Notamacropus eugenii: one gene and its partner. The protein of the gene in region 2 interacts with the protein of the main gene of each other region in a biochemical or structural test. Links are inferred from orthologs where the notes say so. Each region holds a gene or a part of one and is shown on either strand. Other genes may lie near its edges.

Region 1 (15,748 bases), on a different chromosome or scaffold from region 2:
TTTGGATTTTCTCTGAGCATTGTAGCATTCTCCAGCAAGGAAAGAAGCTAATACCCTCAAAAGACCTTTAGACAGCAGCCACCAATTTCCTGGACTCTAAGATCAATCTCTTGCCTTCCTCACTGTTATAACATTGACTCCTTCATCAATTCCCCTTTATGCCTAAAGCCATGACATAAAACAAAACCCCTCATATTCATTTGATCACAGAGAAAAAAAATCCATTTAACTTTCAAAATAGACCACCAGAATACTTTTCGAGTTTGTCCTCCTTCTGTTGGGTCCTGTAAGACCAATGAGAAGAGTTTTCCTTCCTTCTCTCACCAAAGTGCAAATTTCAAAGGGAAAAGAAGATAGATAGATAGATAGATAGATAGATAGATAGATAGATAGATAGATAGATAGATAGATAGATAGATAGGTAGGTAGGTAGGTAGATAGGTAGATAGACAGATAGATAGTAAAAGAATCTTACCCGATTTGCAGAATCTTTGTAGCTACATTCTTTCCAGTTTTTGCCTGTTTCAATCGTACATTTGCTCTCTCGGACTTCATAGGTTATTTTGACGGTGTGCTCACTGGAGTCCTATGGGAAACGGCAAATGGACATTGTGTTGCAAATCTGCGAAACCCCCAAACCCAGGGCTTTGTTAGGAGGTTCTCACCACACATCTGCTGCAAGTTTGATTGAATTGATCTTCTTCGGGTTCTCTGCTGGTCTTATTATTCATAGAATATGAGAACACCATCCCAATCCCTTAATACACTACCTTCCTCAATTCTTGTATTTTACTTACCTGTCCCCACATTGTTTCCCCTCAGTAGAATATAAGGTGGCAGAGGGCAGAGCGCATTTCATTTCTGACTTTGAATCCCCAGCACCTTCCACAGTCCCTGACCCACAGCAACCACCTAACAAAAGTTGGTTGAATCTAATTAGAAATCAGGTAATTCAATCATCTCATTTAGTAGGTGGGAAAACTAAGGTCCAAAAAAGAGAAGGAATTATGTGATCAATGTCTAGAACTCCAGGACCCCTCACTCACAAGATAGCACTCATCTCATGACATTACACTGCCTCATTTGTAGTCCTTAAGTCATCACCTGATGAATCCTACATCTATAATTAATTCCCCTGATCACATTTGATTTGAAAGTCTCAAGCTATTATTTGGCTTGGTTTTCTTTCCGTTAGTGAAGAGACAGTGAAATATTTGCCAATTAGAAAAATTAATTTTTTAATTAACAAAAAAAAAATCAGTGATTGATAAACAAAGTAGAACCTTGGATTCTCTCCATGTCTCAGTCATTTGGGTAACTGTGAAGGTGTAGTCTCTAATAAAGTATTCTTGGGGATGGGAAGGAACATTTAAATTTTTCTTTAATTTCTTTTTAAAAGCTGTTTGGAGTGGTGGGAAGACATTGGACAGCAAATCGGAACACCAGGATTCCAACCTCCACACTATTCCTTTTTAGTTCTGTGTCCTTAAGAAACAATCTTCTCCTCTGCTAGGTATCAGTTTCATCTGTAAATGATGGGATGACTCTAGATGTCTCTAAGTTCTCTTTCAGCCCTAACATTCTGTGACTCTGTAATTCTGCATGACATGGGACAAATAATTGGTTTTCTCTCTTTGCCAGCATGAATGAAGCATCAATTTGGTTCCATCCCTTAGCACATGATTTGTCAAACAAAGGCTAGCCAAGGATTTACCTATGGATGCTGTGTCAATGGACTGGCAACTAAAATCCACTAGACCCATCTGAGGTATGCTTATAAGGAAAGGTAGTTCCAGAACAATGGCTTAGCTGTTGCTTTGTTTTTAATAAAATTGATTCATGGTTTGGGGGTTCAGGATGTATGGCCTCTGGGAGCTTGATCAGCCTGGAGAAGCTCATAGCGGCCATTAGTTGTTTCTCCTCTGGAATCATGTTCATGTTTGTCCAAGAAAACTACATCCTGGAGTACGTGGAATTGGCATGACTAAGTTGTGTTGCTTTTCTTTTTATGAGATTAGTTCCGGTCTCTTTCTTTTTTCATTCAATTAACTGACATCATCCAACACAATGGACACAAGGTCGGGAAGTATTTTTATGCCAAAAAAATTAATTTATTCAACAACAAAACAATTGAAAGTGAGCATTGATAAATTTGAATGATAAAGCTTGGCCTCAAGAAAGAGATGTGGAAGGCAATCTGAATTGGTTTCTAGGAAAATACAATCTCGGTAAGGCCAAGGATTGTTGGGTTTTTTATTTGAATTCCCAGTATTTGAGCAATGCTTTACACATAAGAGGTTCTTAACAGTTTTATTGTTGTTTTGTTAATTGAATCGACCCAGAGTCAAAGGAATTGGGTTCAAATCTTGCTCTTCTCTGTGTGACTTTGGGAAAGTTGCCTCCCCTCTTTAGGTCACAGTTTCATCATGCATTACAGAGAAGAGGGTTTGAAATAGATGCCCTCTAATATTCCTTCAAGCTCTTATCTAGACATTCTATAAAATATGGCAAATACCTATTAGGATAGAGAAACATGGATCTTTCACAACAAGCCTTCTTACATTTTGAAGGAAAAGTGTTTGGTGATTAAATAGTCTAAGCTAAAGAATGGTCAAAAAATAAATCCTAGAAACAATTTATAATTTCTTTAAAGAGAATGACAACAATGAGACAACATCCCAAAATTTGTGAGATGAAGCTAAAGAAGTACTTGAAAAAAAAAATATATCTCTGAATATATACATCAATAAAAGAGATAGAGCAGATCAATGAATTGTTCATGCAATTAAAAAAAACCTAGCAAAAGAACAAATTTAAAATTCCCCATTGTTAATCTATCTACCTGCCAAGATAACCCAGAGGTGATGTGAACACAACTATCAAACACTTCATAGAAATAAAGACAAATCTAAACAATTGGAGAAATATTAATTGCCATTGAATAGGCTGAGCCAATATAATACAAATGACAATTCTACCCATTAGTTTTTTTCAGTGCCATACAATCAAATTACCAAAGAATTATTTTGTAGAAGTAGAAAAAAAAACAGAATTCATCTGGAAATTCAAAAGATCAAGAATATCAAGAAAATCAATGAAAGAATGTGAATGAAAGTAGCCTAGCTGTTTCAGATTTTGGTCTATATTATAAAATGATAATCAAGAAAACAGTCTGATGCTGGATAAGAAATGGAGTGGTGGATCAGTGGAAAAGGAAGTGGAAAAGGAAAAGAAAAATGAAAACTCCGTCAACAATGCATCAGCATCTCAAATTTTCCACATTCTCTCCAATATTTGTCATGTTCCTTTTTTGTCATATTAGTCAATTTGATAGATGTGGAGTGATACCTCAGAGTTGCTTTAAATTTGCATTTTTCTAATCAACTGAGATTATAAACATTATCTTTATATGACTATATATAGTTTTGATTTCTTCTTCTGAAAACTGCCCATTGATATCCTTTGATCATTTAGCAATTAGGGAGTGCCTTGTATCCTTATAAATCTGTCTCAGTTCTCTACATATTTGAGAAATTAGGCCTTTATCAGAAACACTGGATGTAAAGATTGTTTCCCAACTTGCTGCTTTCCTTCTAATCTTGGTTGCACTGGTTTTGGTCATGTAAAACCCTTTTAATTTAATATAGTCAAAAGCATCCATTTTATATTTCATAATGCTCTCTATCTCTTCTTCGGTCATTAATTCTTTTCTTCTCTATAGATCTGATAGTCAAGTTATTCCTTGCTCTCCTAACTTGCTTATGATAGCACCCTTTATGTCTAAATCATGTACCAATTTTGAACTTATCTTGGTATACAGTATAAGGTGTTGGTCTATACCTATTTTCTGCCACATGGTTTTCCAGTTTTCCCAGTATCTTTGTCAAATCATGAGTTCTTATACCAGCAGCTGAGGTCTTTGGGTTTATCAAACACTAGGTTACTCTGGTCATTTATTCCTGTGTTTTGTGTATCCAATATATTCCACTGATCAAGTACTCTATTTCTTAACTGGTATCAGATAGTTTGAATGATTAGCACTTTGTAATATAGTTTGAGATCTGCTATGGCCAGGCCACCCTCTTTTGCATTTTTTTTCATTAACTCCCTTGATATTCTTGACCTTTTATTTTTCCAGATGAATATTGTTATTTTTTCTTTCTCTATAAAATAAATTTCAGTAGTTTGATTGTTATGGCACTGAACACACACATTAATTTCAGTTGAATTATCATTGTTATTATATTGGCTCAACCAACCCCTGAGCAACTGATATTTTTCCAATTGTTTAGATTTGACTATTTATGTGAGAAGTGTTTTATAATTGTATGTCTAGAGTTCCTGAGTTTGTCTTGACAGGTAGACCCCCAAGCATTTTATATGGTCTACAGTTATTTTAAATGGAATTTCTCTTTCTACCTCTTGCTGCTGGATTTTGTTGGAAATATATAGAAATGTTGATGATTTATATAGGTTTATCTTAAATCCTGCAACTTTGCTAAAGTTGTTAATTATTGCAAGTAGATTTTTAGTTGATTCTCTAACTATACCATCTTATCATCTACAAAGCTTAATAGTTTTATTTCCATTTTGTCTAGTCTAATTTTTTTTTCAATTTCCTTTTCTTATTGCCATGGCTAACATTCTAATAGAATATTGAATAATAGTGGTGATAATAGTCATCTTTGCTTCACCCTTGTTGTATTGGGAAGACTTCTAGCTTATTCCCATTACAGATAATGCTTGCTGATGGTTTTTGATAGGTATTATTAATTATTTTAAGGAAAGCTCCCTTCATTCCTTTGCCAAAAAGCATAGTGTTTTTAATAGGAACAGGTGTTGTATTTTGCCAAAAGTTATTTTTTTCTGCATCTATTGAGAAAATCATATCAGATGTCTGTTGTTTTCTTTTATTTATATGGTCACTTATACTGATGGTTTCCTAATATTGAACCAGCCCTACATTCTTGGTATAAATATCACCTGACCATAGAGTATGAGCCTCGTGATAGGTTGCCATAACCTCTTAGCTAGTATTTTATTTTTAAAATTTTTACATCAATTTTGATTAGGGATATTGGTCTATAGTTTTCTTTCTCTGTTTTACCTCTTCGTAGATTAGGTATTAGCACCAAATCAACGAGATTTTTTTTTATTGTTTTGCTTCGTTATGTATTTATTTTTAGTTTTCAACATTCACTTTTATAAGATTTTGAGTTCCTGGTTTTTCCCCTTTCTCCCCTCCTGCCTCCCCAAGATGTCATGCAATGATATAGGGCTATAAATGTACAATCATGTTAAATATATTTCCACCTTAGTCATGTTATAGAAGAAGAATCAAAACAAAAGGGAAAAAACCATGAGGGAAAAAAAGAGAAAATAGTATGCTTCCATCTGCATTCAGACTCCATAGTTCTTTCTCTGGATGTGGATGGCATATTCCATCATGAGTGAAAGAAATTTTTAAAAAAAAAAAGGAAAAGGAGATATATATATATACATACATATATACATGTGTGTGTGTATGTGTATGGTACCCACAACAGAAAGAGGAAGAGTGAGTGTGGAGGCCATGGGTGGGTTGGACATTGAAGGAGCACTGAGAAAGGAGGGCATGGAGGTGCCACAGAAGAACATTAGCTGAGCCCCTGGGCATTATTTTACCAGCACAGGACAATCAGCAAACAGAGCCCAGGAAGTGACCACAAAGGTCACTCACTCACCATCAGCGAGGCTGTCGTTATTCGGTACAGGACAAACTGGGGGCCAGATGACTTTTGGTTATTGTAGTTGGTCAGTGCTGCATCCACAGCTCGGAAGACATCATCATCCTCGCAGGTAACATCATTCCCCCAAGACACAACCTGGACACTCAGCTGGCTGGCCACAAGCAGGAGGACCACAGTTAGCTTCATTCTGAGCTGCTCACCACCTCTCTGGCTGCGGAGGGAACTGTCACCAGGGTGGCAAAGACTGACTCTAAAACCTCTCCACCCCCGTTTTCTTTCTCCTCCCACTCTCTCTGTGTCTTTCTCTCCCTCTCCTTCTTCTTCTGGTCTTTTCTGGGTTTGTTTTAATCACCACAAAACAGTAACCTCATTGCTCTGCTCAGATGGCACGGCTAAATTTGTGGCACTACAGTTTGCGGTATTCAGAGAGCATGAACACCCCCACCCACCTCCTACCAGCTCCACCCCTCACCCCCAGTTTAGCCAAATAGTTTATGTTGAAATCATTGCAACACAGAGGTTGTTGTCCTGCCTCAGGAACCAGGCTCCTCTAACTCCCCACTAAGTTGGGGCCAGTTCCCAGAAAACCTCTTGGAAACACATGCTGGCAGCTTTGGGAATGTTCTGGTTCAGTGACCTAGGAGGTCACTGACTTAGGAAGGAAGAAAGAAAAGCCATCTCAGAGGTGGGACCTCCTCAGTGACTAGCCCCAGGTCAGCCACATTTGCCACTAGGGCATCACACAACTGCCCATAAGCTAGTCTCCGGGAGAACTATCTTCCAAAAGACTATGCCTCAGGCAGCACTGAGGAGAAGGGACACAAGGGAGACAGAGACATCCATTCCTGCTGTGGCTGATGCTACCCCCTCCACACTGCAGGCCCTGAAAGGGGAAAGGCCATCACTGGGCATTTTGGCATCTAGGACAAACAATATAAATGTCCCCTTTAGATTGGGGGAGGAGACAGCAGACACCACCCAGAAGCATGAAAGAGATTCCATGGTGACTTGAGGCTGATGCTGGGTGAGTTTCCCCTCCCCTCCATGGACCCATTTGACCACTGCTGATTTAAACTGTCCTTCTTAGGGTGTTTAACTTGGAGTCCACAGTACTTGCATTTGAATCCTGCCTTAGACACTAGTGCCTCTCTGTGCTAATAACAGAATCTACTTCATAGCATCATTGTGAGGGTCAAATAAGGTGAATTGTACTGAATCTTGCAAACCTTAAAATACTGTAAATGTTAGGGATCCACATTTTCCCCTCATATTTGACATCCAAGAAGTCTTGGTACTTTCATTGGTGGAAAACAACCCTTTTAATGAACAGATGGATACTGCTGGGAAAGGGGATGAAAAGAGAGCTTGAAGTCACACCCTGTCCCCTAAATCTCATGTTAGAGCTGGAGGAGACCTTGGGAATCACCTAGATCATGTCTTCAATCTTACAAAAGAAGAAACTGAGGCAACAGAGAAAGGAAGTGATTTGTCCAAGACCACACAGGAAGGAAAACTGAGGCTGACCTGGGACAGTTAAATAGGTCTTAAATCTCACAGAATGGGTTTGAGAGGCAAACTGGTCCAACTCCATCCTCTTCTAGAGGCCCAAGATTAGTGTCATAATAGGAACCAAGACTCAGACCTCTTGATTTCCAGCCAACTTGGATGACTTTGGTCCACCGCAAAAGTGGCAACCTCTGGTGGCATGATTTATGATAATTGCTAAGGAGGGATGAAGTCTCCAGGCCGTTCCTGGTGCTGCCTGGCCTCCCAACTTATCCCCTCCCCATCCCCCATCCCCATAAAGGTTAACTGGCTTGGGAGGACCAAACCTCAAGGAAAGTAATGATCAGCAGGATGGAGGAGGTGGAGGCATGGCCTCCCAGAAAGGCATAACCTTCCTGCAGGGACTGTTGATCTGACTCTGTCCCCTTCCTCATCCACACCTAAAGTGCCTGCTCACCTATAGCATTTTCCCCTGCTTGGGTTTCATACTTTCAGCCTGGCTTTCTTTTCTAACCCTTCAGGTCCGGGCCTCAGAAAAGTTTGATGATGTGGAGAATTGGTGGGTTATTGTCCTTTGTTCTCAAAGAGGACCAAAATGACATCACCATGATAAACTCAAGTTTCAGTGTGTCTGACTGTGGCTGATCAGACCAATATGAGCTCAGAATGCTCTACCATAAGTTGAGCACAGAGAGTCCGTGTGAATATTTGGGGTGGACACTCCAAATTTGCACATCCTACATTTACTTTGTGCTGTCTCAATTCTACTTTGCTCATAGAACACAGCACCTTTTCTGATACGGGTACACCATGCTGAGCGGTCCTGTGCCAGTGTCTCCCATGTAGCACAATCAAATCCAAAGTTTGTGAGAGAGACCTCGAGAGTGTCCTTTTATCACTTCTTCTGACCACCATGTGATTGCCTGCCCCTTGCGAGTTCTCTATAAAATAGTCTTTTTGGCAAGTGTACATTTTGCATTCGAACAACATGACCAACCTATCATAGTTGCACTCTCTGAAGCATAGTTTGAATGCTTGGCAGTTCAGTTTGAGCAAGGACTTCAGTGTCTGGTACCTTATCCTGCCAGATGATCCTCAGAATCTTCCTAAGACAGTTCAAATGGAAACAATTCAGTTTCCTGGCATGACACTGGTAGACTGTCCATGTTTCACAGGCATACAACAATGAAGTCAGCACAACAGCTCTGTAGACCTTCAGTTTTGATAGTCAGTCTAACACCTCTTCTCTCCCAAACTTTTCTTCAGAGCCTCTCAAACACTGAGTTAGCTCTGGCAATATGTGCATCAACCTCATTTTTGATGTGTACATCCCTGGAAAGTACACTACCAAGGAAAGTGAACTTATCCACAGCCTTCAAAACTTCTCCATTTGTTGTAATCAATGGTTCCACATATGGATGGTGTGGTGGTGGATGATGGAGCACCTGTGTTTTCTTGGTGTTAATTATTAGGCCAAAATTAGCACAGGCAGCAGAAAATTGATCCCTACTTTTCTGCATCTTAACTTCAGAGGCTCCACTGAGTGCACAATCATCTGCAAACAGAAAATCATGCACCAACACTCCCTCCACTTTGGTCTTGCCTTGTAGCCTTTTCAAATTGAAGAATTTACCATCAGTATGGTAGTTGACCTTGATACCGTGTTCATCATCATTGAAAGCATTTGACAACATGACTGAAAACATCATGCTGAAAAGCATGGAAGCAAGCCCACAGCCCTGTTTCACTCCACTGGTGACTGGGAAGGCACAAGAGCATTGTCCAGAACCTGGTCAAACATTCCCTCATGAAATTGACATACAATGCTGATGAACTTTTCTGGGCAATCAAATTTTGACACAATTTTCCATAAGTCCTCATGACTGACAGTGTCAAAGGCCTTGGTCAGATCTACAAATATTGTATACAGACCTCTGTTCTGCTCCTGGCATTTCTTCTGGAGTTGTCGAGCAATAAAGACATATCAACTGTTCCTCAGCCCTTTCTGAAGCCACACTGGCTCTCAGATATATGCCCATCTCCTAGGTGAAGGATCAGCCTACTAAGGAGGACTCTAACAAGAATCTGAGAAAGACCCCCTCTGTGATTGTCATAGGATAATCTATTCCCTTTACCTTTATAGAGATGGACAATGGAGGCATCCTTGAATTCCTAGAGGATAGCCTCCTCTTGCCATATAACCTGGAAAATTCAGTCAGCTTCTGTATGAGCAATGGTCCCCCTACCTTGTAAATCTCAGCTGGAATAGAATCAGCACCAGCTTTGCCACATGAAAGGAGCCTAACGGCCCTCAAAACCTCTTCTTCACTTGGAAGTTCAGCTAAGGAGGGAAATGGTCAAAGAGGCAAATGGTCAATGGCCTCAGCTTTGATTGATGATGGTCTGTTGAAAGCACTATGGAAGTGTTCAGCCAGTCTCTCTAGGATAATGTCCTCATCACTAATCAATAGTGCCATGAAGCTGGCATAGGTTTTGCAACCAAAACTAATCTAGTCAACAAGGTGGTATGCTGGCCAAAAGGAGTGAATGACAGGCTCATGAAAATGTGACTGCCACTTGCAGGAAAATGCCCTGCCACCATCATCAGTGCCTATGCTCCCACCATGACAAACCTTGATGAGGTCAAAGAAAAATTTTATGAAGACCTAGAGACCCTTATCATCAATGTGCCAAAAGAGGACAAGCTTGTCATTCTGGGTGACTTTAATGCTAAAGTAGGCTCAGACTACCTGACTTGGCAGGGAGTCCTAGGGAGGAATGGAGTTGGAAAAGCAACAGCAATGGTCATTTACTGCTGAAGACTTGCACATCAAATGACCTTCTCACCACCAACACTGTTTTCCATTTACCTAAACAACAATAAAACTTCATAGCAAGCACTGGCATCTAATTGACTATGTGATTGTAAGGAGAAGAGACAGACAAGATGTGAAAGTGACAAAAGGCAATGTGTGGTGCAGAGTGCTGGACTGATCACAGACTTATCCTTTCCAAGCTAAATATTCACATTCATCAAAAGTGCCCCTCCCCAAGGCAAAATGACTACCAGAAGAATTAATGTCAACACATTAGAGCTCTTCTCTGAGTGTGAACAGTTGCTAACTTGGAGGGAAGGTTGAGCCCACACAAAGGTGGCAACAGTGAAGCAGAAAAGTGGGCAGCTTTCAGAGATTTGGTGTACAGCACTGCATTTGCTCATCTGGGTCAGAACACTCACAAACACCAAGACTGGTTTGATGAAAATGGTGGGGAAATTCAGAAGCTGCTAATGAAAAATGAGAACTCCACAGGATTTACCAGCACGATAGTTCATCCACCTCTAAGAAGGCAGCATATAATTCCATCAATAGCAAAGTTCAAGCAAAGCTTCAAGAGATGCAGGATTCCTGGCTTATCAGAAGACAGATGAAATTCAGTTTTATGCTAATAGTAACAACCCAAAGCAGTTTTATGACTCCCTGAAAGCTATTTATGGATCAAAAACCTATGGAGCATCACAGCTACTCAGTGCTGATGGAATCACAATGTGGAGAATACAACCTGGAGGGGTGACTAATTTCACTAGGATTGTAGACTCAGGGTTAACTGTTGTTAAAGGCATGAGCAATCTTCTCTGTCCCCATCAAAGGCCTGCTCTTTCCACAGGCCCATTGTGGGGAGCTTCTGCCCCTCAATCCCAGGCTGACACTGGGCCAGAACTACTGCTCCTCCTTACAGTGCCCTCCTCTCCCCCAAAAGCCAGATGGACAGTGACATGACCCTTAAAGGAATACCAGATGAACACACTGAAGAAACCAGCTCACTGGATGCTCACTGAGACAGGACTGACCTTCCTTCCTTCCCTAACCCAGTCCAAAACAGACTAGCCTTGAAAGCTCCCATGAGATAATAAAACAGTGAGATCCTGCTAAGCCTTCACTCTTTCCATTTAGTCACTAGCGCAGCTTGGCTACAGAAGCAGCCACAGTCCACTACTTCTTCTCCTAGCCTACCATCAGCCTCCACCTTCTGCCATTGGCCATTGTGATAGAATATTTCTGAGGTCTGGGAAATGGGGGAATGCTTAGTTTGGGGGAGAGAAGAATTATGTCAATTTAATGAATTAGCTATTAACTAAACTCCTTCCCCCAAAGTCTCCATCTGTTTGTTGAAAGAGTTATTAGTCCACCACCACCACCACCCTGCAGTAATGAGGCTTCTTAAACTCCAAGTATACTAAAAAAAAAAAAAAATACAAAATGACAACTGTTGGGATTGGAAGCTCAATTCCGTGTGGACGGTCTCGGGCGGGTAAAAGTGGGACTTCTAAATCTTAGAGTCTTACGAGGCCCTCCATGAACAGTGGGGGTTAGAGAAGGTCAGACTGAGCTAGCTTGGCTAGCTCGGGTATTTCCGCCTCTCCCCGGGAGATACGTGATGGGTGGAGTCTCCCTGCCCTCGAGGTCGTCCCGGATTGGAGCACACCTAGTTACCTAACAGCACGGTATTGAGATGCAAACTGTGCGGCTGAAGGTTAAGTAGGATTGAGGAAGCCTGAAAGTTCTCTCTTAGCACGTGTGGAGCCAAGAGGACAGTAGGCTCCACTTCTTTTCTTTCCTCTCTCCCCTCCCCCTCTCTCCCCGCTTGTACTTCTATTTCCAAGCCCTTAAGATCCTAGCCTCCTTAGGAAATCTCCCCCTCTTCCTCCTAAGGAAGACCCCCCTGCACTTGTAACTAGACCCTGAAATAAAGCTCAACCCTTGTTCGACTCTGGAACGTCCTTTCTCTCATATGTGCATCCGGTTTTGGCCAACCAAAGACCTCGGAGGTGAGGTAAGAAAGACTCGGGTAGCCCACACAGGCCTCTAGGCCTGGCGGACAACAACAAAAGCCCATTAACAGTTAACAGCTAATCCATTGAATTGCTGAATCTCCTGGGTTTGGAAAAGGGAGGGAAGTAGAATCTGAAGAGTCATTTGTGGGCCAGGGTGCACATTTTTGCCTTTTATGCTTTTGAACAGCAGGAGATATTTATTCCAACAGAATCTGGTTGAAGTTCCTTACAAGGTGTAGTGGAATAAGAACTAAACCTGGAGTCAGGGGAGACCTGGGTTCAGATGCTGCTAGCTATGTGACCATGAGTAGGTCACTAAACCCCTCTGTACCTTGGTTTCATGATCTATAAAAGAATTATAGTGTTCTATCATCTACCTACCTACCTACCTATCTACCTTTATTTCTACTTTTCTATCTATCTCTTCTACAGATGTTCCAAATTGGAAATGTCTGCCTTGGAGGTTGGGTTCCTCCTCAATGGAACTCTCCAGAAGAGGCTGAATGACTACTCATCAAGAATAATTTAGACAAGATCCCTCTGTATTCTCATCTACAAACTGGAGGTGATGATGCTTATAGCCCATACCTCCCACATTTACTGTGAGAATTAAATGAGTCAATATAGGGAAAGTTCTTTATAAACCTTAAGGATTTATACAAATGTCCATTATTATTATTTTTGTTGTTCAGGTATAGGTGGGACTGTTTGGCATCTAGGGGTCTTTCCTTTACATCTATGAGGTTCTGAGATTCTGTGACATCACAACCTGTTCAGAACTGGGCAGAAGGTGGGATTGGTCAGTGGTACTTGAAAGATCATGGAGAGTTGGGGAGGAGAGATGAAACTGGAGAGAATGGTAAACATGAGAAACTAGTATCTATATACTCTAGGACAGTGAATTTGATGTTGATTCTTGGCAAAACTCTATAACATATGGTAAGGAATGATTAGTAAATTTGTAATGTGGGACTGAAGAATGTGGGACCATTCCTGGGAGCATGGATACAGGAATGTTTGGTGAACCTGCAAGTATTCTGTTTCTGACTTACTGAATGGTGAAGAAAAGACATTAGGTGGACTGCCAAAATGGAACTGGTGGAGTCAAGATGGTGGAGTGAGAAGCACTAGAGCCTAGCTGTCCACTATCCCTCTCCATAACTATCTAGAAAATGCATGAGACCAATTCTGTTTTTGGAAAGCCAAGAAAAAGTCAACTAGTCATTTTTTTCCAGCCTAGGGTGACTAAGGGAGAGAAAGAGAGAGAGTTTTATGAACATTGGCCAGTAACAGTCATTCTACCTCTCAGGGACTGGAAAAAGGCTGAGACAGAGCTTGGGGACATGAAGTACCCCAGCAGAAAGATCTAAGGTTATGATTATCTCTGAACTGGTGCTGGGTGCAGACAGGTGTCATTTGGCAGCTCTGACTCTTGATAAACCTGCATTGGAATAACTAAGGCAACAGTCCCTGACCAAGGGAGAGTTTTGAACCTGCAGAATCTTTCAGCAGGCTAACAGTGACTGAGTCCAGCAACAATCTACTGGAACTCACAACCAAGGATAAGCTGACATTCCCAACCCTGGGTCAGGAATTTGCAGAGCTCAGACCAGGAGGGCAATGAATACACCATCTTCTGGACCACCTCATTTGGGGGTCCATGAAAACTGTCAGGACCCCAGACAGAGCTGCAGAAACAGCAAAAGGATGTTGAAGTATAGAAGCATAGAACTGACATCCCTTCCAGAGTTATGCAGAGCCCAACACTAACATAAAGCTCAAAGTCAAGAAGTAAGGCTAGAACAAATAAAAGAATATCACCATTAAGAGCTATTATGGTGATATGGAAATTCAAGACACAAACCTAGAAGAAAATAACTCAAAAACATCTACAAAGCAGAGTATGCTAGAAGAGTTAAAGAAAGAGCTAAAAGTTATTTCTAAAACAAAATTGAAGTGGTAAAGGAAATAATGGAAAAAAAGAAGCAAGATAAAAGGAAGAAAAATATGAAAAGAGAATTAACATCTTGGGAAAAGAGGTACAAAGCCTTAATGAAGAAAATAACTGCTTGAAAATTAGTATTGGCCAAATGGAAGCTAATAACTCCAAGAAAAATTTTAAAAAACAATAAAATAAAGTCAAGAGTGATAAATACAGAGGAAACACTTAAATATCTCATATGAAAGACCTGGAAAACAGATGGAGGAGAAATAATTTAAAAATTATGGGACTACCTGAAAGTGATGAACAAAGTAAAAAAAAAAGAAAAGAAAACCAAAGGAGCCTTGACCTCATATTTCAGGAAGTTATAAAAGTACCCAGATCTTTTAGAACTAGAGGGAAAAACAAAAATTAAAATAATTCACCAGTTACTACCTGAAAGAAATCCCAAAATGGAGAATCCCAGGAATATTATAACCAAAATCCAGAGCTCCTAAGTCAAGGAATAAACACTGCAAGCAACCAAAAAGAAAGAATTCATGAACTCAGGAGCCACAATCAGGAACTCGCAAAGAATAAAGCAAAGATTAAGCAGCCACCATTCTGAAGAAGTGGGGGACTTGTTATATGATATTCCAGAAGGCAAAAAATCTAGGAGTACAGTCAAGATCAACCTACCCAGCAAAGCTGAGGATAATCCTATAAGAGAAAAAATGGATCTTTAATGAAATAGAAGTTTTCTAAGAATTACTGATGAAAAAGCCAGAGTTGAGCAGAAATTTGAATAGAAAAAAAGATCGGTAAATATGAGTGAGTAATCATTAAGAACTAAAGGGTATTGTTTACATTCTTACGTGGGGAGATGATACATGAAGCCCCTCAGAACTTTGTCATCACCAGGGATCACAAAAGGATTCTAATTAGAAAGAGAACTTGGATGTAATTCTGATATGTTTGGATGATGTCAAAAGGAGAATGGAAATGATAGGGAAGAGGAATGTATGAGGAGAGGGAGGAAGGGGAGAAAATGAAAGGAATTATCTTATGTAAATGGATATGCTAGGAAGAATTTATACATAAAGGAGATGGAGCAGTGGGAGGGAGAGTGACCCTTGAACCTCATTGTCATCTGAATTGGTTAAAGAAGGGAAGAATGGAAAGAGAGAGAGAGAGAGAGAGAGAGAGAGAGAGAGAGAGAGAGAGAGAGAGAGATACAGAAATACATTTTGGTCAACAGGGAAATGAGAGGGAAAGGGATAAAGGGAAAATGTGTGAGATAAGAGGAAGAGTAGATTAAGGGAGTGTAGAGTCTGCAAAATAGACTCAAAGGGGGGCGGGGAAAAAGAGAAGGAAAAGTATAAGAGAATGGGATAGAAGGAAATACACAATAAAAAATCATTACCATTAATGTGAGTGGTATGAACTCTTTTATAAAATGAAAGAGGATAGTAGAAGGATTTAGAACAAAAATTCAACAATATACTATTTTTAAAAAATAATACTTGAGACAGAACGGTATAGAGTTAAAATAAGAGGATAGAGAAGAATCTAATTATTCTTAAGCTAAAGTAAAAAAAAAGTCAGAAGAGTGATCATGATCTCAAAATAAAAGCAGAATAGATGTATAGTTATGAAAGATAAACAGGAAAACTACATTTTGCTAGAAGGTACCATAGACAACGAATTAATATTAATACTAAACATATATGCTCCAAGTAGAATTTTCTTAAATTCTTA
Region 2 (16,134 bases):
AAAGCCTTTCCATGTTCTTAGGATCTATGAGAACTTGCATTTCATTGGCATGGGCTTCAAGAACCTTGAGTCATCTCCAAACCATGATGAGTCATCTGAGTAGGAATTGAGGTGGGGGGGGGGGCTCCTATTATTCTTCTCCATTTAATGGCTTTTTTAGGATTTATTAAAGATACAAATAAGGACTTGGATTGAAACTGGGACTTCACTGATATAGGTAGCATCTTCTACCCATGCAAGCTTGTTCCTTTTTTTGCAATGTATATGTAGTCTTCTACAGTTGCCTAAAACACAGTTGCTTAAGGGACTTGTTCAGAGTATATATCAAAAGCAAGTCTGGACCCCAAATCTTTCTGGCTCTGAAATCAGCTTTCTATCCATGACACTGTGCTGCCTTTCTTATGAACATTTGTCAGATGTTGAAAAGGATCCATCCACTAAAGCCTGAGGCTGAGATTTCATAATGGCATGGAGGTAATATGGGCACTCAAGGGGATTTTCTCAGTGAAGGATGATTCCTTCTCCTGGCACTCTCTCCAGCATTTGACACTATTGAGCACCCTAGTTTTCCAGTTTTCAAACACTTTACTCCTACAAACTCTGAAATCTAGCAGCAGTGGCTTTCATGTCATTTCTTAAGCACAATGCTCCATGTTCGTATCTCTTTTTTACTGAATACTCCCCATGCCTAGAATGCTCTCCTTTCTGACTTCTACAGTTTTTCCTTCAGGACTCAGCTTATATTCTCTTTCATTTAAGTGGCCTTTCTTGGTACTACCCTCTCACCAAATGCTGGTGCCTTCCTCATGGGATTACCTTTCATTTCCATTTCATGTACTCCACATATAAAATTTTGTAGATATTAATCATTCCCCCATTAGAATGGGAGTTCCTTGTAGGCAGGACCATTTTGGTTTGTTTATTTGTTTGTTTGTTCTGCCTTTCTTTGAATTTTCAGGGCTTCAGATAGTGCTGGACACTAATTAGTAAGTACTTAATAACTGGTATGGCAAAGTTACACCAGCTTTGAAGAAAAACGTTCAATGAGCCTTTATTAAATACCTACCTAGTGCTAAGCAGTTGGGACGCAAAATCAAAAATGAAAGAAGAAAAGATAGAAATGTGACTGTGTGTCTACAGTCCAAGGTTCATCTTAGGTTAGGATCCGTGAATTAAGTTAAGTTACTAGACTGTCTACCATATAGTCATGTCAATGAGATAAAATGATTACAACAGGATCTGGGGATTTGGCACATAGTAAGTGTTTTATAAATGCTTATCCCCTGCTTTTCCCTACCATGTGATTTGTTTTGGAGGAGGATGACAACATGAAAGGCTAAGATCTGCATTAGTAGAGGAAGCAGTCTCAGAAATGAAAATATACATCTTTTCATAGCATCATAGACTTAGAGGTCTAAGGGACTCTATAGGCCATCCCAGGGGTGAAGAACCTGTGGCCTCAAGGCCACATGTGGCCCTCTAGGTCTGCAAGTAAGGGTTGCACGTGAGGATCTATAGGGCCATATGTGGCCTCAAAGCTACATGTTCTCCACTCGTGATCTAGTCTAACTCATTTTACAGATGAGGATACTGAGGCAGAGAGAGGCTAAGTGACTTGCCCAAGATCACACTTGTAGATGCTGAAATGGTAGAACAGGTCTTGAATCTACGTACTAAGACGCCAAAACTCCAAAATGAGCATCATCGGGGGAGAGGCATAGGAAAGGGGAGTTCAGTTTCTCTGATGATGAATCCCAAGCCGTTACCTTTTGTTCTCATCATTAATGGCATTTGCGGGTAGAAAACTAAACATTGTACACCTGGGGTGGAAGGTGCATGCTCTCTGGCAGAGCTCAGCAGTTGGGGTGTGCACCGCATCCACATCTCCTCCTTTAAAGAAGGTGTTTTCATAAAACCGAGTCACACACTCTGTAATAGAATCAGAGGACAGTGTTGATCTGGTGCAGTTAGCAAGGGATATGCTCAAGAATGCCTTCCTATGTACCTCTTCCCCCCAACATTATCACCTTCCCCCACCCTCTCCATTCTTAGCAATCTCCTCCCCCCACAACTTCATTAAGATATGGCTCTAATTCCCTAGAAAGAATGAAATCATTTGGCAGTGAGACAGAGCAACAGATACAGCATTGGCCCTGTAGTCAGAAAGATCTGAGCTCAAATTTGGCCTCAGAACCTACTAACTTAGTGGCCTTTCAACCTCTGTTAGCCCCAATAAAATGGGGGTGATAATAACAGCACCTACCTTCCAGAGTTATTGTGAAGGTCAAATGAGGTCATATTGTAAAGCTCCTGGCACATGGCTATTATTATCATTATTCTTAGACTCTGATGGCAAGCAAAGTAGGATCTTTTGCTGTTTTTGTTTTAGTATAATCAAATGCCTCTAACTGAATCTTGCCTTTATCAACCAAGAGCATTTACTAGGAGTAAAGTGCAGAAACAAGAGTTTCTTTAACCAGAAACAGTATATGTATTTGTGTTGTTAATTATTTTAATATGATTAAAGATCTTTCCCACCCATTAATGGGCCTGCCTATTAAAGGGAATTTGATTAAGGAAGATTTGCAGGAAGGCCCACACTTTTTGTTAAGTTTCTAATGAGACAATGGTTCTCAAGGTTGTGAGGCCCTATGACTAAAAAATGTATTAATACTCTGAGGTGAGGTTTTACTTTAGGGTTTATGGAGTGGAAATATTTTGTTTGCCCAGACAAGACTCTGGGAAGGCACTAAGGAACCCCCTAGCTTTGAAAACCCAGATGTTGATGCTTCCCTCTCTGGTAACTATGTATGTATGGTCAGACATGTATCTGTTGATCTGTGATGTGTGTCAGATAGTTGGAAGTCTGTCTGTTGATCTTTGATTTCTCTGTGTATTCTCCGAAGTTCAGGGGCTGACTTTTTTCCCTGAATTAAGTGAGTGATACATGTGTTTGATTAAAGGGATTATTGACCCCTAAAAGTTGCTTTTCTTTTTAGAAAAGCAAATCAGAGATATGAGAAATAGGTTGGGCAATAGCATGGAAGTGGGAGATGGAGAATTATAGGTGAGGAATACTAAAAGGGTCATTTTGGCTTTACCATAGTATGCATAAAGAGGATTCTTATGGAGTGACTCTGGAAAGGCAAGCTAGAATCAGATTGTAAAGAGCTTTACATGTTTCACAGAAGTGGATGAGTTTGATGTTATACATAGCAGGAAAGCCACTGGCGTTTATTGAACAGGGGAATGACACACTGGGTCTATGCTTTAGAAATATAGATAAACAATTGAAATGTTACATTGGAATTTCTTACATATGAAGACAGAGACAGACAGACAGAGAGATTAAGAGAGACAGAGACCGAGACAGACAGAAAGACTTACAAACAGAGAATTTCACTGAATAAGATGACATAATAAGGGTATGATCTGGGGTAATTGGGAGAGTATCTTTGTGAGTGACAACATAGATCCATCAAGTGTCTTATTATTTCTTATTTCCTATAAACTTCAAATGAGACAGGTATTGGGGGCCATCTGAATACAGTTAAACTCAAATTGACACCTGGTAGTAAAAATAAATAATAGTCCTGTCCCAGATGTAGAGCTAGAGTGATCTCAGAAATCCTCCAGGTTATTGAATAGATCTGGCCCATTTTTTAGATAAAGAAACCAAGGCCAAGGGAAGTTTGGTGATTTGTCGAAGGTCACACAGGTAGCAAGCATCAGAGGTAAGATTTGAACTCAGGTCCTCTACCTTCAGAGTCAGTGCTCTGCTACAATGAAACAAGACTGCTAAAAATGGACATAGCTTTTTGAGTATAGTTCTTGGTTTTGTTTTTGAAGCCTATCTTGTTTATTCATTTCAAAGGTCTGATTTCTTGGATTAGCAACCTTCCCCTCCCATCTGATTCTGCACATCTGGGCCTCTCCGCCTTTTTCATAATAAAAGACAAGGAAGGTAAGTCTAAAGAGCAGTTATGTTAGTTCTTGCCCCTGGTCCCTAGAAGGGGAGTCCGATGATCACAGATGCAGGGGCAGACAGCTCCCTAGTTTCCTTTTCTCCCCAGAGAAATCAGCCCTTTTCACAGACTGGTGCCTATGACATCCACCTCCTTGACTTTACCAACTGTGGGAAATTCTCTTTGGGTAAGATATGTTTTAAAGCTAAACTTACCGCTGGTCACTGTAGCAAAGAAGAAGAGGAAATATACTGCTTGGTGTAGGAAATCCATCCTAAAATGACAAAACACATGACCAAGTTTGGGGACTAGGACAATATCTGCCAAGAAAGCACAACCTGGAGTTGTGGTGACCAAGTAATCTAACAAATCGATAAAATGTAGTCTGTCCCTTTCCTTTGATCAATGTTAACTATGAATTCTGGGCACAGAATCCCAGGTACTGAGAAGATGGGTCAGTGGAAAATTTCTTGGGAAACAAAAACCAGCGCACTTCAAAAAACATGGAGTATAACAGCAGTTAACAACTCCCAGTTCTTGGCACCATGACTGACACATAGTAGATGCTTAGGAATGCTCATTGACTTAACTTGATAGCAACCCCTCTGGTCCGGCTCCTTAGTTTCTTGTTTCTGAAGGACATTTCAGGGTACTTACCAAATATATACATATGTATATATTATAGCTATATATCTATATATATATATCTATGTCTATGTCTATATCTATGTCTGCATTTAGCTCTCTCTATTATATAGCTATGTTATATATTATAAAATGTTAAATTATAAAATGCAATATATTATGAAATGATATCATAAAATGTAACAAAATATTATACCATATAGTATATCATATTACATAGATATTTATATAATAGACATGTAGATATAGCTTCAGTTATTAGTATTGGTGGGGAAGGGAGAGGGAAAGAGAGGAAAATATATATGTATATGTGGGGAGAGAAATCTTTCTATCCCTTTCTATACATGTACACTATATATGTACATATATATAATAACACAACTGTTTAATCTACATTATCCTTATTTATCAGTGATACAACATATGATCTCATAGTGAGGAAAGAGTATGGAAGATTTCTGCCCAGGCTTGATTTTAAACCTTAGCGATGGGGGTTTTAAAATAACTTCCACACGCATAGTAGAGATTTACAGTTTCATGTATAATCCATTTCCCGTTCTACTTTGTATATGAAAATGCACACTGTATTTAGTGACAAGCTCAGAATGAACAAAAACATGCTTTATTTAAAAACGTGATATGCCATCTTTCCACTTCTAACTGGCTCATGTTGGCTTCCTAAATATGTAGTGATTTAGAATTGAAACATTGCTTCATCAAGTAAAAAAAAACACGTCAAAACAAACAAAAAACCATAGTCCACTGCAAAGAATGGCCTATAGAGAAGCGATCAGAATTAAGAGAGGTTCTCTACCTGAGATTGTGCAGGCTTCGATGGCTCTGGACGTAAGGATTAGGTCTTCTGTCCACTTAAAATGTTGGATGGTCATCCCTTCGTAAAGAGGACTGTGGCACAGCACGTATTTGCTTTCCTCTAACATTGACTCTGATCTTCTGCCAACTGACTGTCAGCATTTTTCTCTGTCAACATCTTTAATAAATGTCCAGCCCTCCTGGGTTTCCGCAATTTCATTAATATGTCAGCTACTTTACTGTGCAACTATGTAACACCCATCTGGGATTCAATTATTTTATATTTTAGAATATCATGTCATTTTAGAACAAGAAAATTGCCCTTCTTGGGCTGCACTTTTTCCATTGGAGCAGCATGGAAGGGATCTGGAGTGGCAGATAGAGTCCATAGAGCTAGACTGAGAGTCATAGAATCACAAAGCTAGAGGGGACCTCAAAGTCCATTTAGACCAACCCTTTTTGATAAGTGGCCAGTCAAGGTCATACAGGGTGCAAGAGACAGGTGGGATTTGGATAGCAATGTGTGGATGAGTAAATGTTTAACAATAGATGTTTGGAGAAATGTACCCATGACACACTTTTTATATTTAATCTGCACAACTAACATTTCCCCCATTGGTTTCTTACTTCTGGAAATCAGCAAAACAATAAATCATGCCTGGATTTATAATATTTGCCAATTTCTCAAGCATAAATACTCATACTGAAAAATTTAACAGTTCAAGTTGGAATTGAACCCCAGGTCATTTGACTTTGGACCTAGTGATCTTTCTATGGGGGATCCTGCCGCCTGGGTACAGATCTCACCTTTGAGTAGCTGTGTGATAATGAGTGATGGATCAAACCATCAAAAAGCATTTATCCATTGTTTACCAGGCACTAGACCAAATACTGGAGATGCCAAAAAAAAAAAAAAGTGAAAACACACTTTGGCTGCAAATGACCTTATATTCTAAAGGGGAAAACCATATATGCATAAATAGCTGTATTCAAGATACATGCAAATTAGGTATAAGGCAACCTTAGAGGGGAAAGCATTAGCAAACAAAGAGAGGGTGGTGATGTAACTGGCAAAAGTTAGTACCTTTTAGTACAAGAAGTTAGTACTTGAGCTTTGTGTTGAAGAAGGCCAGGGGTCCTAACAGGTAGAGGCAAAGAGTGGATATACTTCGGATATGTTACAAAGGCACAGATACAGCATGTTAAACATTGTAAAAAACAAGACATTTGACCCACTTGACTAACTGTAGATTGCTTGTGGGGGACTATATTTAAGAAGAGACTAGTTGTCAGATGCTTTAAATGTCAAACGAGGAGTTTTATATTTGAGTTGAGATGTATTTGGGAACCAGTGGAAGTAAGTGCATAGGAAGAGAGGGTGAAATGATCAGAGTTGGCACTCTCTAGGAAAATTACTTTGGCAGTTGTGTGGGGGATGCATTAGAGTGGAGAAAGACTTGAGTTGGGGAATCCAATGAGAAGGCAATTGCAGTAATCCAGAGACGATGAAGACTAGAACTATGATTGTGGTTGTGTGGATGGAAAGGAGATATATTTGGGAGACGTAGAAATAGAAATAACTAAATTTCTAAACTAGTTGAATATGCTGAGTAAGGAGTCAAAGAAAACACCAAGGTGGTGGTCCTAGGTAACAAAATAGCACCCTCAGAAGTAATATGGAATTCACTTGATATCTCTGAACCTCTTTTTTTATCTGTTATATGGAAATAAAACTGTCTATTATACCAATCACATGCTTTTGGTGGGGCTTAATTGAGGCAATAAATTACAAAGTACTGGGTAAACTTTAAAAGGCAACATGAATATAGTAGCCTTTTGCTCAAGAAACTAGAATGCCATTGGAATGGGAGAGAAATCAACACACCTCAGCACAAAGGACAAAAATGTAAAGAGAAATGAAAGAAACGGCCCTAGCAGTTCTAGATATAAAGCAATATCACAAGAAGTAATCATCTAAACAATTTGATATTGGTAAAGAAATAGAAAAGCTGATCAATGGAACTGATGAGAAACAATATACAGAAGCAAAAGAGCACAGTAGCCTGATGTTTGATAAACCCAAATAACTCAACTATTACAATAACTCAGTATTAAACCAAAATTGTTGGGAAAATTGGAGAGTAATTTGGTAGAAATACAGTTTAGGTTAACATCTTACACTACATACCAAGAGAAGTTCTAAATGGATACATGACAAATAAAAGATTATGTCATAAATAAATTAGAGGAATAAGTGAAGATATTATCTGTCAGATCTATTGATAAAAGGAGATTTTGTGACCAAATAAGAAATAGAAAGGATCACAAAAGGTAGAATTGACTATTTTGATTATATGAAATTTGAAAGTTTTTGCATACCAATGCATTCAAAATTAGAAGTTGTTGTTCAGTCACTTTTCAGCCTTTTGACTCTTTGTGACCTCATTTGGGGTTTTCTTGGGAAAGATATTGAAGTGGTTTGCCATTTCGTTCTCCATCTCATTTTACAGATTAGGAAACTGAGGCAAACAGAATTAAGTGACTTGCCCAGGGTCACAGAGCTAGTAAGTATCTGAGGCTAGATTGAAACTCAGGGAGATAAGTCTTTCTGACTCCAAACTCAGTACTCTATCCACTGTGTCACCTACTTGCCCAAATTAGAAGAAAAGCCAATGAATGAGGAAGGAGTTTCATTGAACTGATTCAAGTTTACAAGAATAGAAGCCATTTTCCATTTGATAAGCAGTTAAAAGCACAAGAAGAAATCCAACCTATCAATCAATAATCATATTTAAAAAGTTCTTGAAAATACTAATAATTAGAGAAACATAAATACAAATTCCAAGGTTCTACTTCATATCCATTATATTGGCAAAATTAAAAAAAAAAAAGAAAATGACAAATTTCACAAGGGCTGTTGGAAATTAAGTATGTTAATCTACTGTTAGTGGAACTATGAACTGGTCCAGTAATTCTGGAAAACAACTTGGAGCTATGCCCAAAAATCTATTATACTATGCATACCTCTGGTGCAGTGATACCCCTTCTAGGCCCAAAAAGATCAAAAAAAAAAAGAGAAAACAAACACATAGGCACTAAAATATAGGAGCTCTTTTTGTGGTAGAGAGGCAACATGCAATGCAAAGGGCACTGGACTTTGAATTCAAGACCTGGTTCAGATATTTACTAATCATATGAGCCAGGCCAAGTCACATTATTTTCTGAACCTCAGTTTCTGAATCTGTAAAATGGGAATACTAATACTTTTTCACCCTACCTGAAAAATTTATTGAAGAAAGTACTTTGTGAAGCTTATGGATCAAATAAACATAAGTTAATAGAACATTATTATTTATGTTGAACCAAAATGAATCTCATTATAATTTCTGTCCATTAGTGTGAGATTTGCTCTCTAGAGTCCTACCCTCCAAAATTTTTTTCATTCATATTTTGGATATAACTTAAAATATTTGAAAACAATATTCATCTTGTGACTCTCATTCTCTTTTCATGGTTAAACATGCCTAGTTTCCCGGATGTTCCTTAATAGTCAATATTGGGTGCCACCTTTTTATATTGTACTCCTCACTTGGAGTCAGGCAGGAGCATCCTGGAGGTAAAGTTGATGAAAATGATGAAATGGCTGAGAGATGGAGTGTTTTCTCTGAGGAACAGCAAGGAAACCAGTGTCACTGGATCAAAGAAAAGGGGAAGTGCTGCTTATGGCAAAAAAGCCTTCCATCACAATGACTTGATGTGTCTTTCTTGGTTAACTCAGAGGAGTCTGACTACAGCTGACATGCTAATGCTTACTTGAGATGGGAGATGGTGACCTGAAAAATATAATGCCCCAAGGAGTGAGATCCTTAATGTTAAATGAGAAGCCCAGGATGGCAAGGTGGATGAGACTCTCTGCTTTAACGATGCCTTTGTATGGATCAGATGTAATACGATGAAATCTAATGAGAATGAATGTAAATTCATCCAATTGGGTTTAAAAAAATCAATCTCACAAAGAGAAGAGATGTAAGGATCAGTTATATATATATATATATGTGTGTGTGTGTGTACATATATATATATATATATATATATATATCAGCATAGGAGTTTAGTGTGCTGTAAATTTAATATATAACTTAACTTGGTAACACATCAATAAAATATCTAATGCAATCTTATACTGAATTAATAGAGGTATAGTGTTCAGGGGCAGCTAGGTGGTGCAGTGGATAGATTGCTGGGCCTGGAGTCAGGAAAACTTGAGCTCAAATCTAGCTTTGGACACTTACTAGCTGTGTGACCCTGGGTAGGTCATTTGATCCTTTTTGACTCAGTTTCTTCATCTGCAAAATGAGTTCAGGAAGGAAATGGCAAGTCACTCTAGTATCCTTGCCAAGAAAACCCCAAACAGAATCTTGAAGAATCAGATACTACTGAAATAAATGAATAACACAATAGCATTCAGGATAAGAAAGGCAATAGTCCTGCTCCTCTCCTCTATTAAACCCTCTTCTCTGGGATCTGAGGAAGGGGTGGTTTTTCCTTTTGCCAAGGGCCCTTGACCTTTCTTGGGCCTTGGATCCCCTCCCATTTCTTCTATGAATATGACTCATTCTTATTCTCTCATCTTGTCTCCCTCAAGTCATTGTCCAATATCCCTTCTTCATTTACCATAAAAACTCCTGCCTCTTCTTCTTTTCTACCCCCTGCTTCTCAAATCCTTTCCATCTCTTTTAGTTTCTAAGTCTGATGGCTTTTTGTCAGGCTACTTGGTGGTGCCAGAATGTGTAGAGTGCTGGGCCCAGAGTCAGGAAGACCTGTGTTCAAATCCAGCCTCAAGCACTTTCTATGTGACTGTGGGTAAGTTAACCTCTTTTTGCCTTAGTTTCTTAAACTGTGAAATGGGGATATTAACAATCCTTAACCTCTCAGAGTTGTTTGTGGTGAATAACAAATGAAATAATATTTATAAAGTGCTTAGCACAGTTCCTGGAACATAGTAGATGCTATGGAAATGCTAGCAATTATATTATCATATATTATATATAATATATATTATATCATTATTACATGACAGCAGTTAGCACTCTGTCCCCTTTCAAATTACCTTATCTTTTATTTTCCTATCCAATATTGTGTATGCTTTTAGAAGAAGGATCATTTCATTCTTTGTATCTGTCTGTATTCCCAACACATAGAAAAAATGCCTGGCACATAGTAGACATTAATAAATGCTTGTTGATTAACTCCCATCTGTCCTTGTTATATCTCCCCCATCTTGCTAGAATACAAGGTCCCTACAGATAGGAACTGTTTCATTTTTGTCTTTGGGCTCCGTACCTGGCAAAGTACATGGCTCTTAATAAGTGCTGAATTGTTGTTGTGTTTGTCCTTCATTCTCGAAGAGGACCATGATATCAAGATGATGGCATGACTTGCAGTTGACTTTGATTTGAGTGAGGGAGGACTGTGCAAGGTCACCAGCCTCACTTTATCCTCCTGAGCCACCTGGGTCCAGTGGCCTGATATTCATCAGGACAACTGGAGATGGCCCAGGGTGCAACCCTTTCAGGTTAAGGTCTTATCACATTCTCACTTTGAGTGAGATGCATCCATTCAACAAATAGGCTTCTTTAAGTAGTTACTCAAGGGATAGCCCTTTTAACCAAAAAAAAAAAAAAAAAATCAAACTGGGAGAGGAAGCCCCTCAGAATTCCTGGGTAAAAGAGAAACAATTACTGCTTAGTAATGAATGATTTAATTGAATGTTGAATAGAATGACAAAGAAAAGATTGAGGCAAAGTGTTTCAAAGAATAGGAAGGCAAGAGAGCGTTTTTGGCAAGAGAGAGGAGGGATGTAAATCAGAGAAGGCTATATGAAGAAAGTGATGCCTGGACTCAGTCTTAAAAAGAAGTGAAGGTATTTACCACTTTGGGATCAGAAGGGAGTGTATTTTAGGCATGGGAGAACAGTCTGAACAAGGGTAAAGAGGCAGGAGAAGGGAGAACAATACGGCAAAAAACAAATGAGTCATCCAAGGTGGCTATTGAGGTCATAGAGAGGAATAACATACAATATGGCTGGAAGAACACATTGAAGTCAGATTGTGGAGGGTCTGGAATGCCAGGCTAACTCTGAAAGAGTGAGGCTGACAACCTGGCACAGCTCTGCCTCACTTAAATCATTTAATAAATGCTTCACTTATCTATTCTTATGGCATCTTCCCCATTCTTGCTAGAATGTTATCTCCCCAAGGACAGGAACTGTTTCATGTTCATTCAATAGAAGAGCAAACGAGATGGAGGCAAAGTGTTGGAAAGAATTGGAAGGCAAGAGAGATCTGCTTTCTTTCTACTGTTCCACTCTGCCTCCCTGAAAAATGAGCCACATTAAGAAAAGAAAGAAAGAAAGAAAATAGTAAGTATGAAGTGCCTGTTATCTAGTCTAAGGCAGCTAAGTGTTAGAGTGAATTAAGTCTTGGGCCTAGAATCAGGAAGACTAAATCCAGCCTCAGACATTTACATGACTCTGGGCAAGTCACTTAACTCTTTGCCTCAATTTTTCAGCTGTTAAGTGAGCTGGAGAAGGAAATGGCAAACCACTCCAGTATCTCCAGATTTAAAGAAAAAGGGTTTCTTAACATCTCTGCTTTTATGAAGAATAAAAGTTAAATGTCAGTATTTCTATTTTTAAAAAAAAACACCACTCTGATTTTCTTAATTTATTTGGATCTATAAATAGATAACAACAAATCTATGAATATCTTCTCTGTTGGGGAAGATATGTTCTTATTATATGTTGTTACCTGCTCATCCTGTGATTGACATCGATGATCACCTGAGGAAACATTTCAAAGGACCAACTTTTATACTGGTAGTTGACATACCCAAACTGTGTTTTCATAGGTCTAATTTTGAAGCCATTGGAAACAGACAAATCACACCTTTGAAATGGGTCTCTAGATTTCCTCCAGAGACAGAAAAATCAACATGAAATAAAACGTAGAGCAGAAAAAATAAAGTCTTCCTAAAGAAACTTGAAAGAGAAGACTCCAGAGGTTGAGGTTGGCCTGAGTGAAGTATAGACACTTCTGGGCCAACTCCACAGAATTAAAGGACAGCAGACCAGAGGGGCAGCTTGGTGGAGAGGCAGTCTAGGTCTCAAGAAATTTCATCTCAACTCAGGAGCTTTTACCTCACCAACTTTCATCAATCTCTCAAACAGCACACAGCGGAGTGGGGGGATATTGAAGGAGCCTTGCTGTTTATTATGACCAAATGGGATTTATAGCAGGAATGAGGGATGGTCAATCAAAAGGAAAACTATTCCTTATTCTGATTTCTTCTATTTCTTTTTCTTCTCTTTTTGCAATTGCTAGGATTTCCAATACAATATTGGATAATGAGCATCTTGTTGCATACCTCATCTTAGTAGGAAGGCCTCTAGTTTATTCTTGTTACACATAATACTTGCTGATGATTTTAAATAAATGCTTTTTTGTCAATGGAAGGAAAAATCCATTTCTGCTAATACTTTCAAATGTTTTAATAGAAATGAGTGTACTTTATCAAAAGCTTTTTATGCACCTATTGACATAATCAAATGATTACTTTTATTATTGATATCAATTATGTTGATACTGATGCAGGTTATATATATAATATGTATGTTATATAGACATAATCATTCATGTTCCTACCCACCTCCTAATAGGTATTGGACTCTAAATGCAGAATCAGACAAGTATTTTTGGATACAGTTAATATGGCAGTTTGTTTTGCTTAACCATGCATGTCTGTATACTGGGGCACTTAGATATTATGCATAGTATATTATATATGCATGGGTATATGAGATGTGTATACATGCTCATATATACACATATGTATGTATATATGTATGTGTGTATACATATATGTGTATATGTGCATGTTTGTATGTATTTTTGAGCAGCTAAGTGAGACAATGGATAGAGCAGTAGGTCTAGAATCAAGAGTTCAGATCTGACTTCAAACACTAGCTACACGTCATTTAACCTATTTGCCTCAGTTTCTTTATCTGTAAAATGGTGACTAATCACTGTGCCTACCTCTCGGTATTCTTATGAGGTTGTTATTATCTCATTTTCAAAGAGTTAATAATTATAAAGCACTTGCAATGCCTGGCAGAGTCAGTACTGTGTAAATATTAGTCATTATTATCTATTCCAAAGGTTTTCTTTTTCTTCTTTTTCAGTAAGTGGGGGCGATTGTATTTTGTGTTTATCCTTTGTTTCCGAACAAGACCATGCCATCAGAAAAATGATGACATGACTTGCACTTGACGGTTTTGAGTGAGGGAGAGCTGTACAGGTCACCAATCTCACTTCTCCTCCAGAGCCATCTGAATCCAGTGAGCAGATATTCATCAGGATGATTGGTGATGACCCAGGATGAGGCAATTGGGGTTACATGACTTGCTCAAGGTCACACAGCTAGTGAATGCCAAGTGTCTGAGGTGAGATTTGAACTCAGGTCCTCCTGACTCCTGCACTGGTGCCCTATTCACTGCACCATTTAGCTGCCCCTAAGTGGGTGAGATGGGAAAAAGAGAAGAGAACTGTTTAGAAATTGAAAAAAATTAACAAAACTTTATTTCCAAAAGTCAGTGCCTTCACTTTCCTACTTTAGATTCCATGCATGATTATTAGACAACTCAGTAGGTATATGATAACCATGACCATTTTATCTATACACATTCAGTAACTGAATTCTACTCCTGCAAGCAGCAAAGGCTGAAGCATTTTCCTTCTACTTGCAAGGCAATCTGGCATACTTCTGTCTATTTCCTAGTTTTAGTCTCTTATTCTATCAGTGCCCCTGTCACTAGCATTTTGATCCTCTGTCTCCTGCACCACACACTTTATGATTTTCTATGAATTAAGAAACTAGAAAAACAATTTTATTAAAATTACATGCTAAGTAAAAATCAGCAAAGTTTTTCTTAAAAGTGCATAGGTTTTTAGACTTCTGTTTTATGACATTTGTTTTTGACTCCTCAGAGACCTTTATGCTTCCTTTCAGGTGATGGATTTCTTGGATGGGGCAGGGGTGTGGTGGTAGTGAAAATTGCTAGAAGTCTCTAAGATCCCCTGTGGCTCTAAAAATTCTGTTTCTTTATGTAAATTATGAATAGCTGATAAAGGCTATTAAGTGCTTTAAAATATAAAGTGCTTAAAAATAATTTTTACTGTGAGCAAAATTATTATAATATGCAAAATTATTTTAAAATCTCCTAGATCAAAAGAACAAAATATTAGCATTTTTTCAAACACCAAAACAAAATAGATCTTTCATCTCAAAGGAGATGTAACTTTCTTCAGGATGGATCCCATCAGTGAAATATAACTGACTTAAGGAAAAAGGGATTTCTTATGAAGAATAAAAGTTAAATGTCAGTATTTCTCTTTAAAAAAAAAACTCTTTGATTTTCTTGATTTATTTGGATCTATAAACAGATGACAACAAATTGATCTATATTTTCCAGGTTGTGGGGAACTTGTTACCTGTTCAACCTGTGATTGACATGAATGACCACCTGGGGAAACATTTCAAGGATGTATTTGTATTGATGGTTGCTATACCTAAACTGTTTTCATAGCTGTAATTCTGAAGTCAATGAAAACAGACAGATCACACCTTTGAAATGGGTCCTCTACCTGAGAGCCGACAACTGATCATCAAGAATTTTGTAAGTGCTCTCTCTCTCTCTCTCTCTCTCTCTCTCTCTCTCTCTCTCTGTCACACACACACACACACACACACACACACACACACACACTTTCAGGCTAGGTGATGAATTGCCAATACAATTGATTGAATGTGAGGTTCCTTCCTTCTATGTTCTCCTCTTCAGCTTAATCCAGATGCCGTTCTTTGGTCGAAGAATCATTTCTCCCACCAGATGAAGTTCTTCTCTTTTTTGAATGGATTCGATCCAGAACCGCCTCAGCACCCAGGAAATGACAGTCTTTTCTTCCATCATTGCAAACTTCTGACCTTGAAATTTAATAGACACATGGCCACTTCAGAGTTTATTCACAGATAGAGGTTTCAATGATATCTCTGATCTTAGGTATGATAAGTCTGAAACTTCATGCCCTCCTCCTCTTACCTGTTGACTTGCTACAAATCTTTCCACTCAATTCAATAATCATTTATAAAGTGCCTACTATGTGTAAAGCAACGTGCTAGAAGGTATGGATCAAGGGATAAAAGTAAATAGGGGAGAAAGGAGCACGTGTTTATTAAGAACTTACCATAGACCAGCTACTGCTTTTTACAAATATAATCTCATTTGATCCTCACAACAATAGGTGCTATTATTATCCCCATTTTATAAATGAGAAAACTGAGGCAGACAGAAGCTAAATGACTTGTCCAGGGTCATATAACTAGTACGAATCTGAGGCCACGCTAGAACTCAATCTCATTGACTTCAGGTCTAGAGTTTTACCTACAGTATCACCTAGCTGTCCTTGACACCATATACATAAATAAGTAAATATACAAAGAGAATCGGGAGAGGGGGATTTCAACCACAGGAACTGGGAAAGGTGAGGGAGGATAGGAGTCAACAGTTGAACCAAGTCAATCCTGAAGAATTCTATAGATTCCAAGATAGAGTGGTAAGAAAGTAATTACATTCCGGATATGAGAGAGGCAGAGA

The links.
Region 1: the proteins of KLKB1 (region 2) and KNG1 form a complex in vitro, tested with the Homo sapiens proteins (4 studies listed by BioGRID). The link is inferred for Notamacropus eugenii from reciprocal best matches to the Homo sapiens genes KLKB1 and KNG1.

The regions. Positions count from the first base shown.
Region 1 is NC_092877.1:376,978,094-376,993,841, forward strand, and holds the start of KNG1 (kininogen-1), read right to left. Parts: upstream 6,157-15,748; 5' UTR 5,916-6,156; coding exon 5,724-5,915; intron 587-5,723; coding exon 476-586; intron 1-475. UniProt on the Homo sapiens protein: Kininogens are inhibitors of thiol proteases.
Region 2 is NC_092878.1:105,423,353-105,439,486, reverse strand, and holds the start of KLKB1 (plasma kallikrein), read right to left. Parts: upstream 5,893-16,134; 5' UTR 5,425-5,892; intron 4,240-5,424; 5' UTR 4,239-4,239; coding exon 4,181-4,238; intron 1,930-4,180; coding exon 1,767-1,929; intron 1-1,766. Other genes in the region: CYP4V2 (cytochrome P450 4V2), read right to left, coding at 15,304-15,464. UniProt on the Homo sapiens protein: Participates in the surface-dependent activation of blood coagulation. Activates, in a reciprocal reaction, coagulation factor XII/F12 after binding to negatively charged surfaces.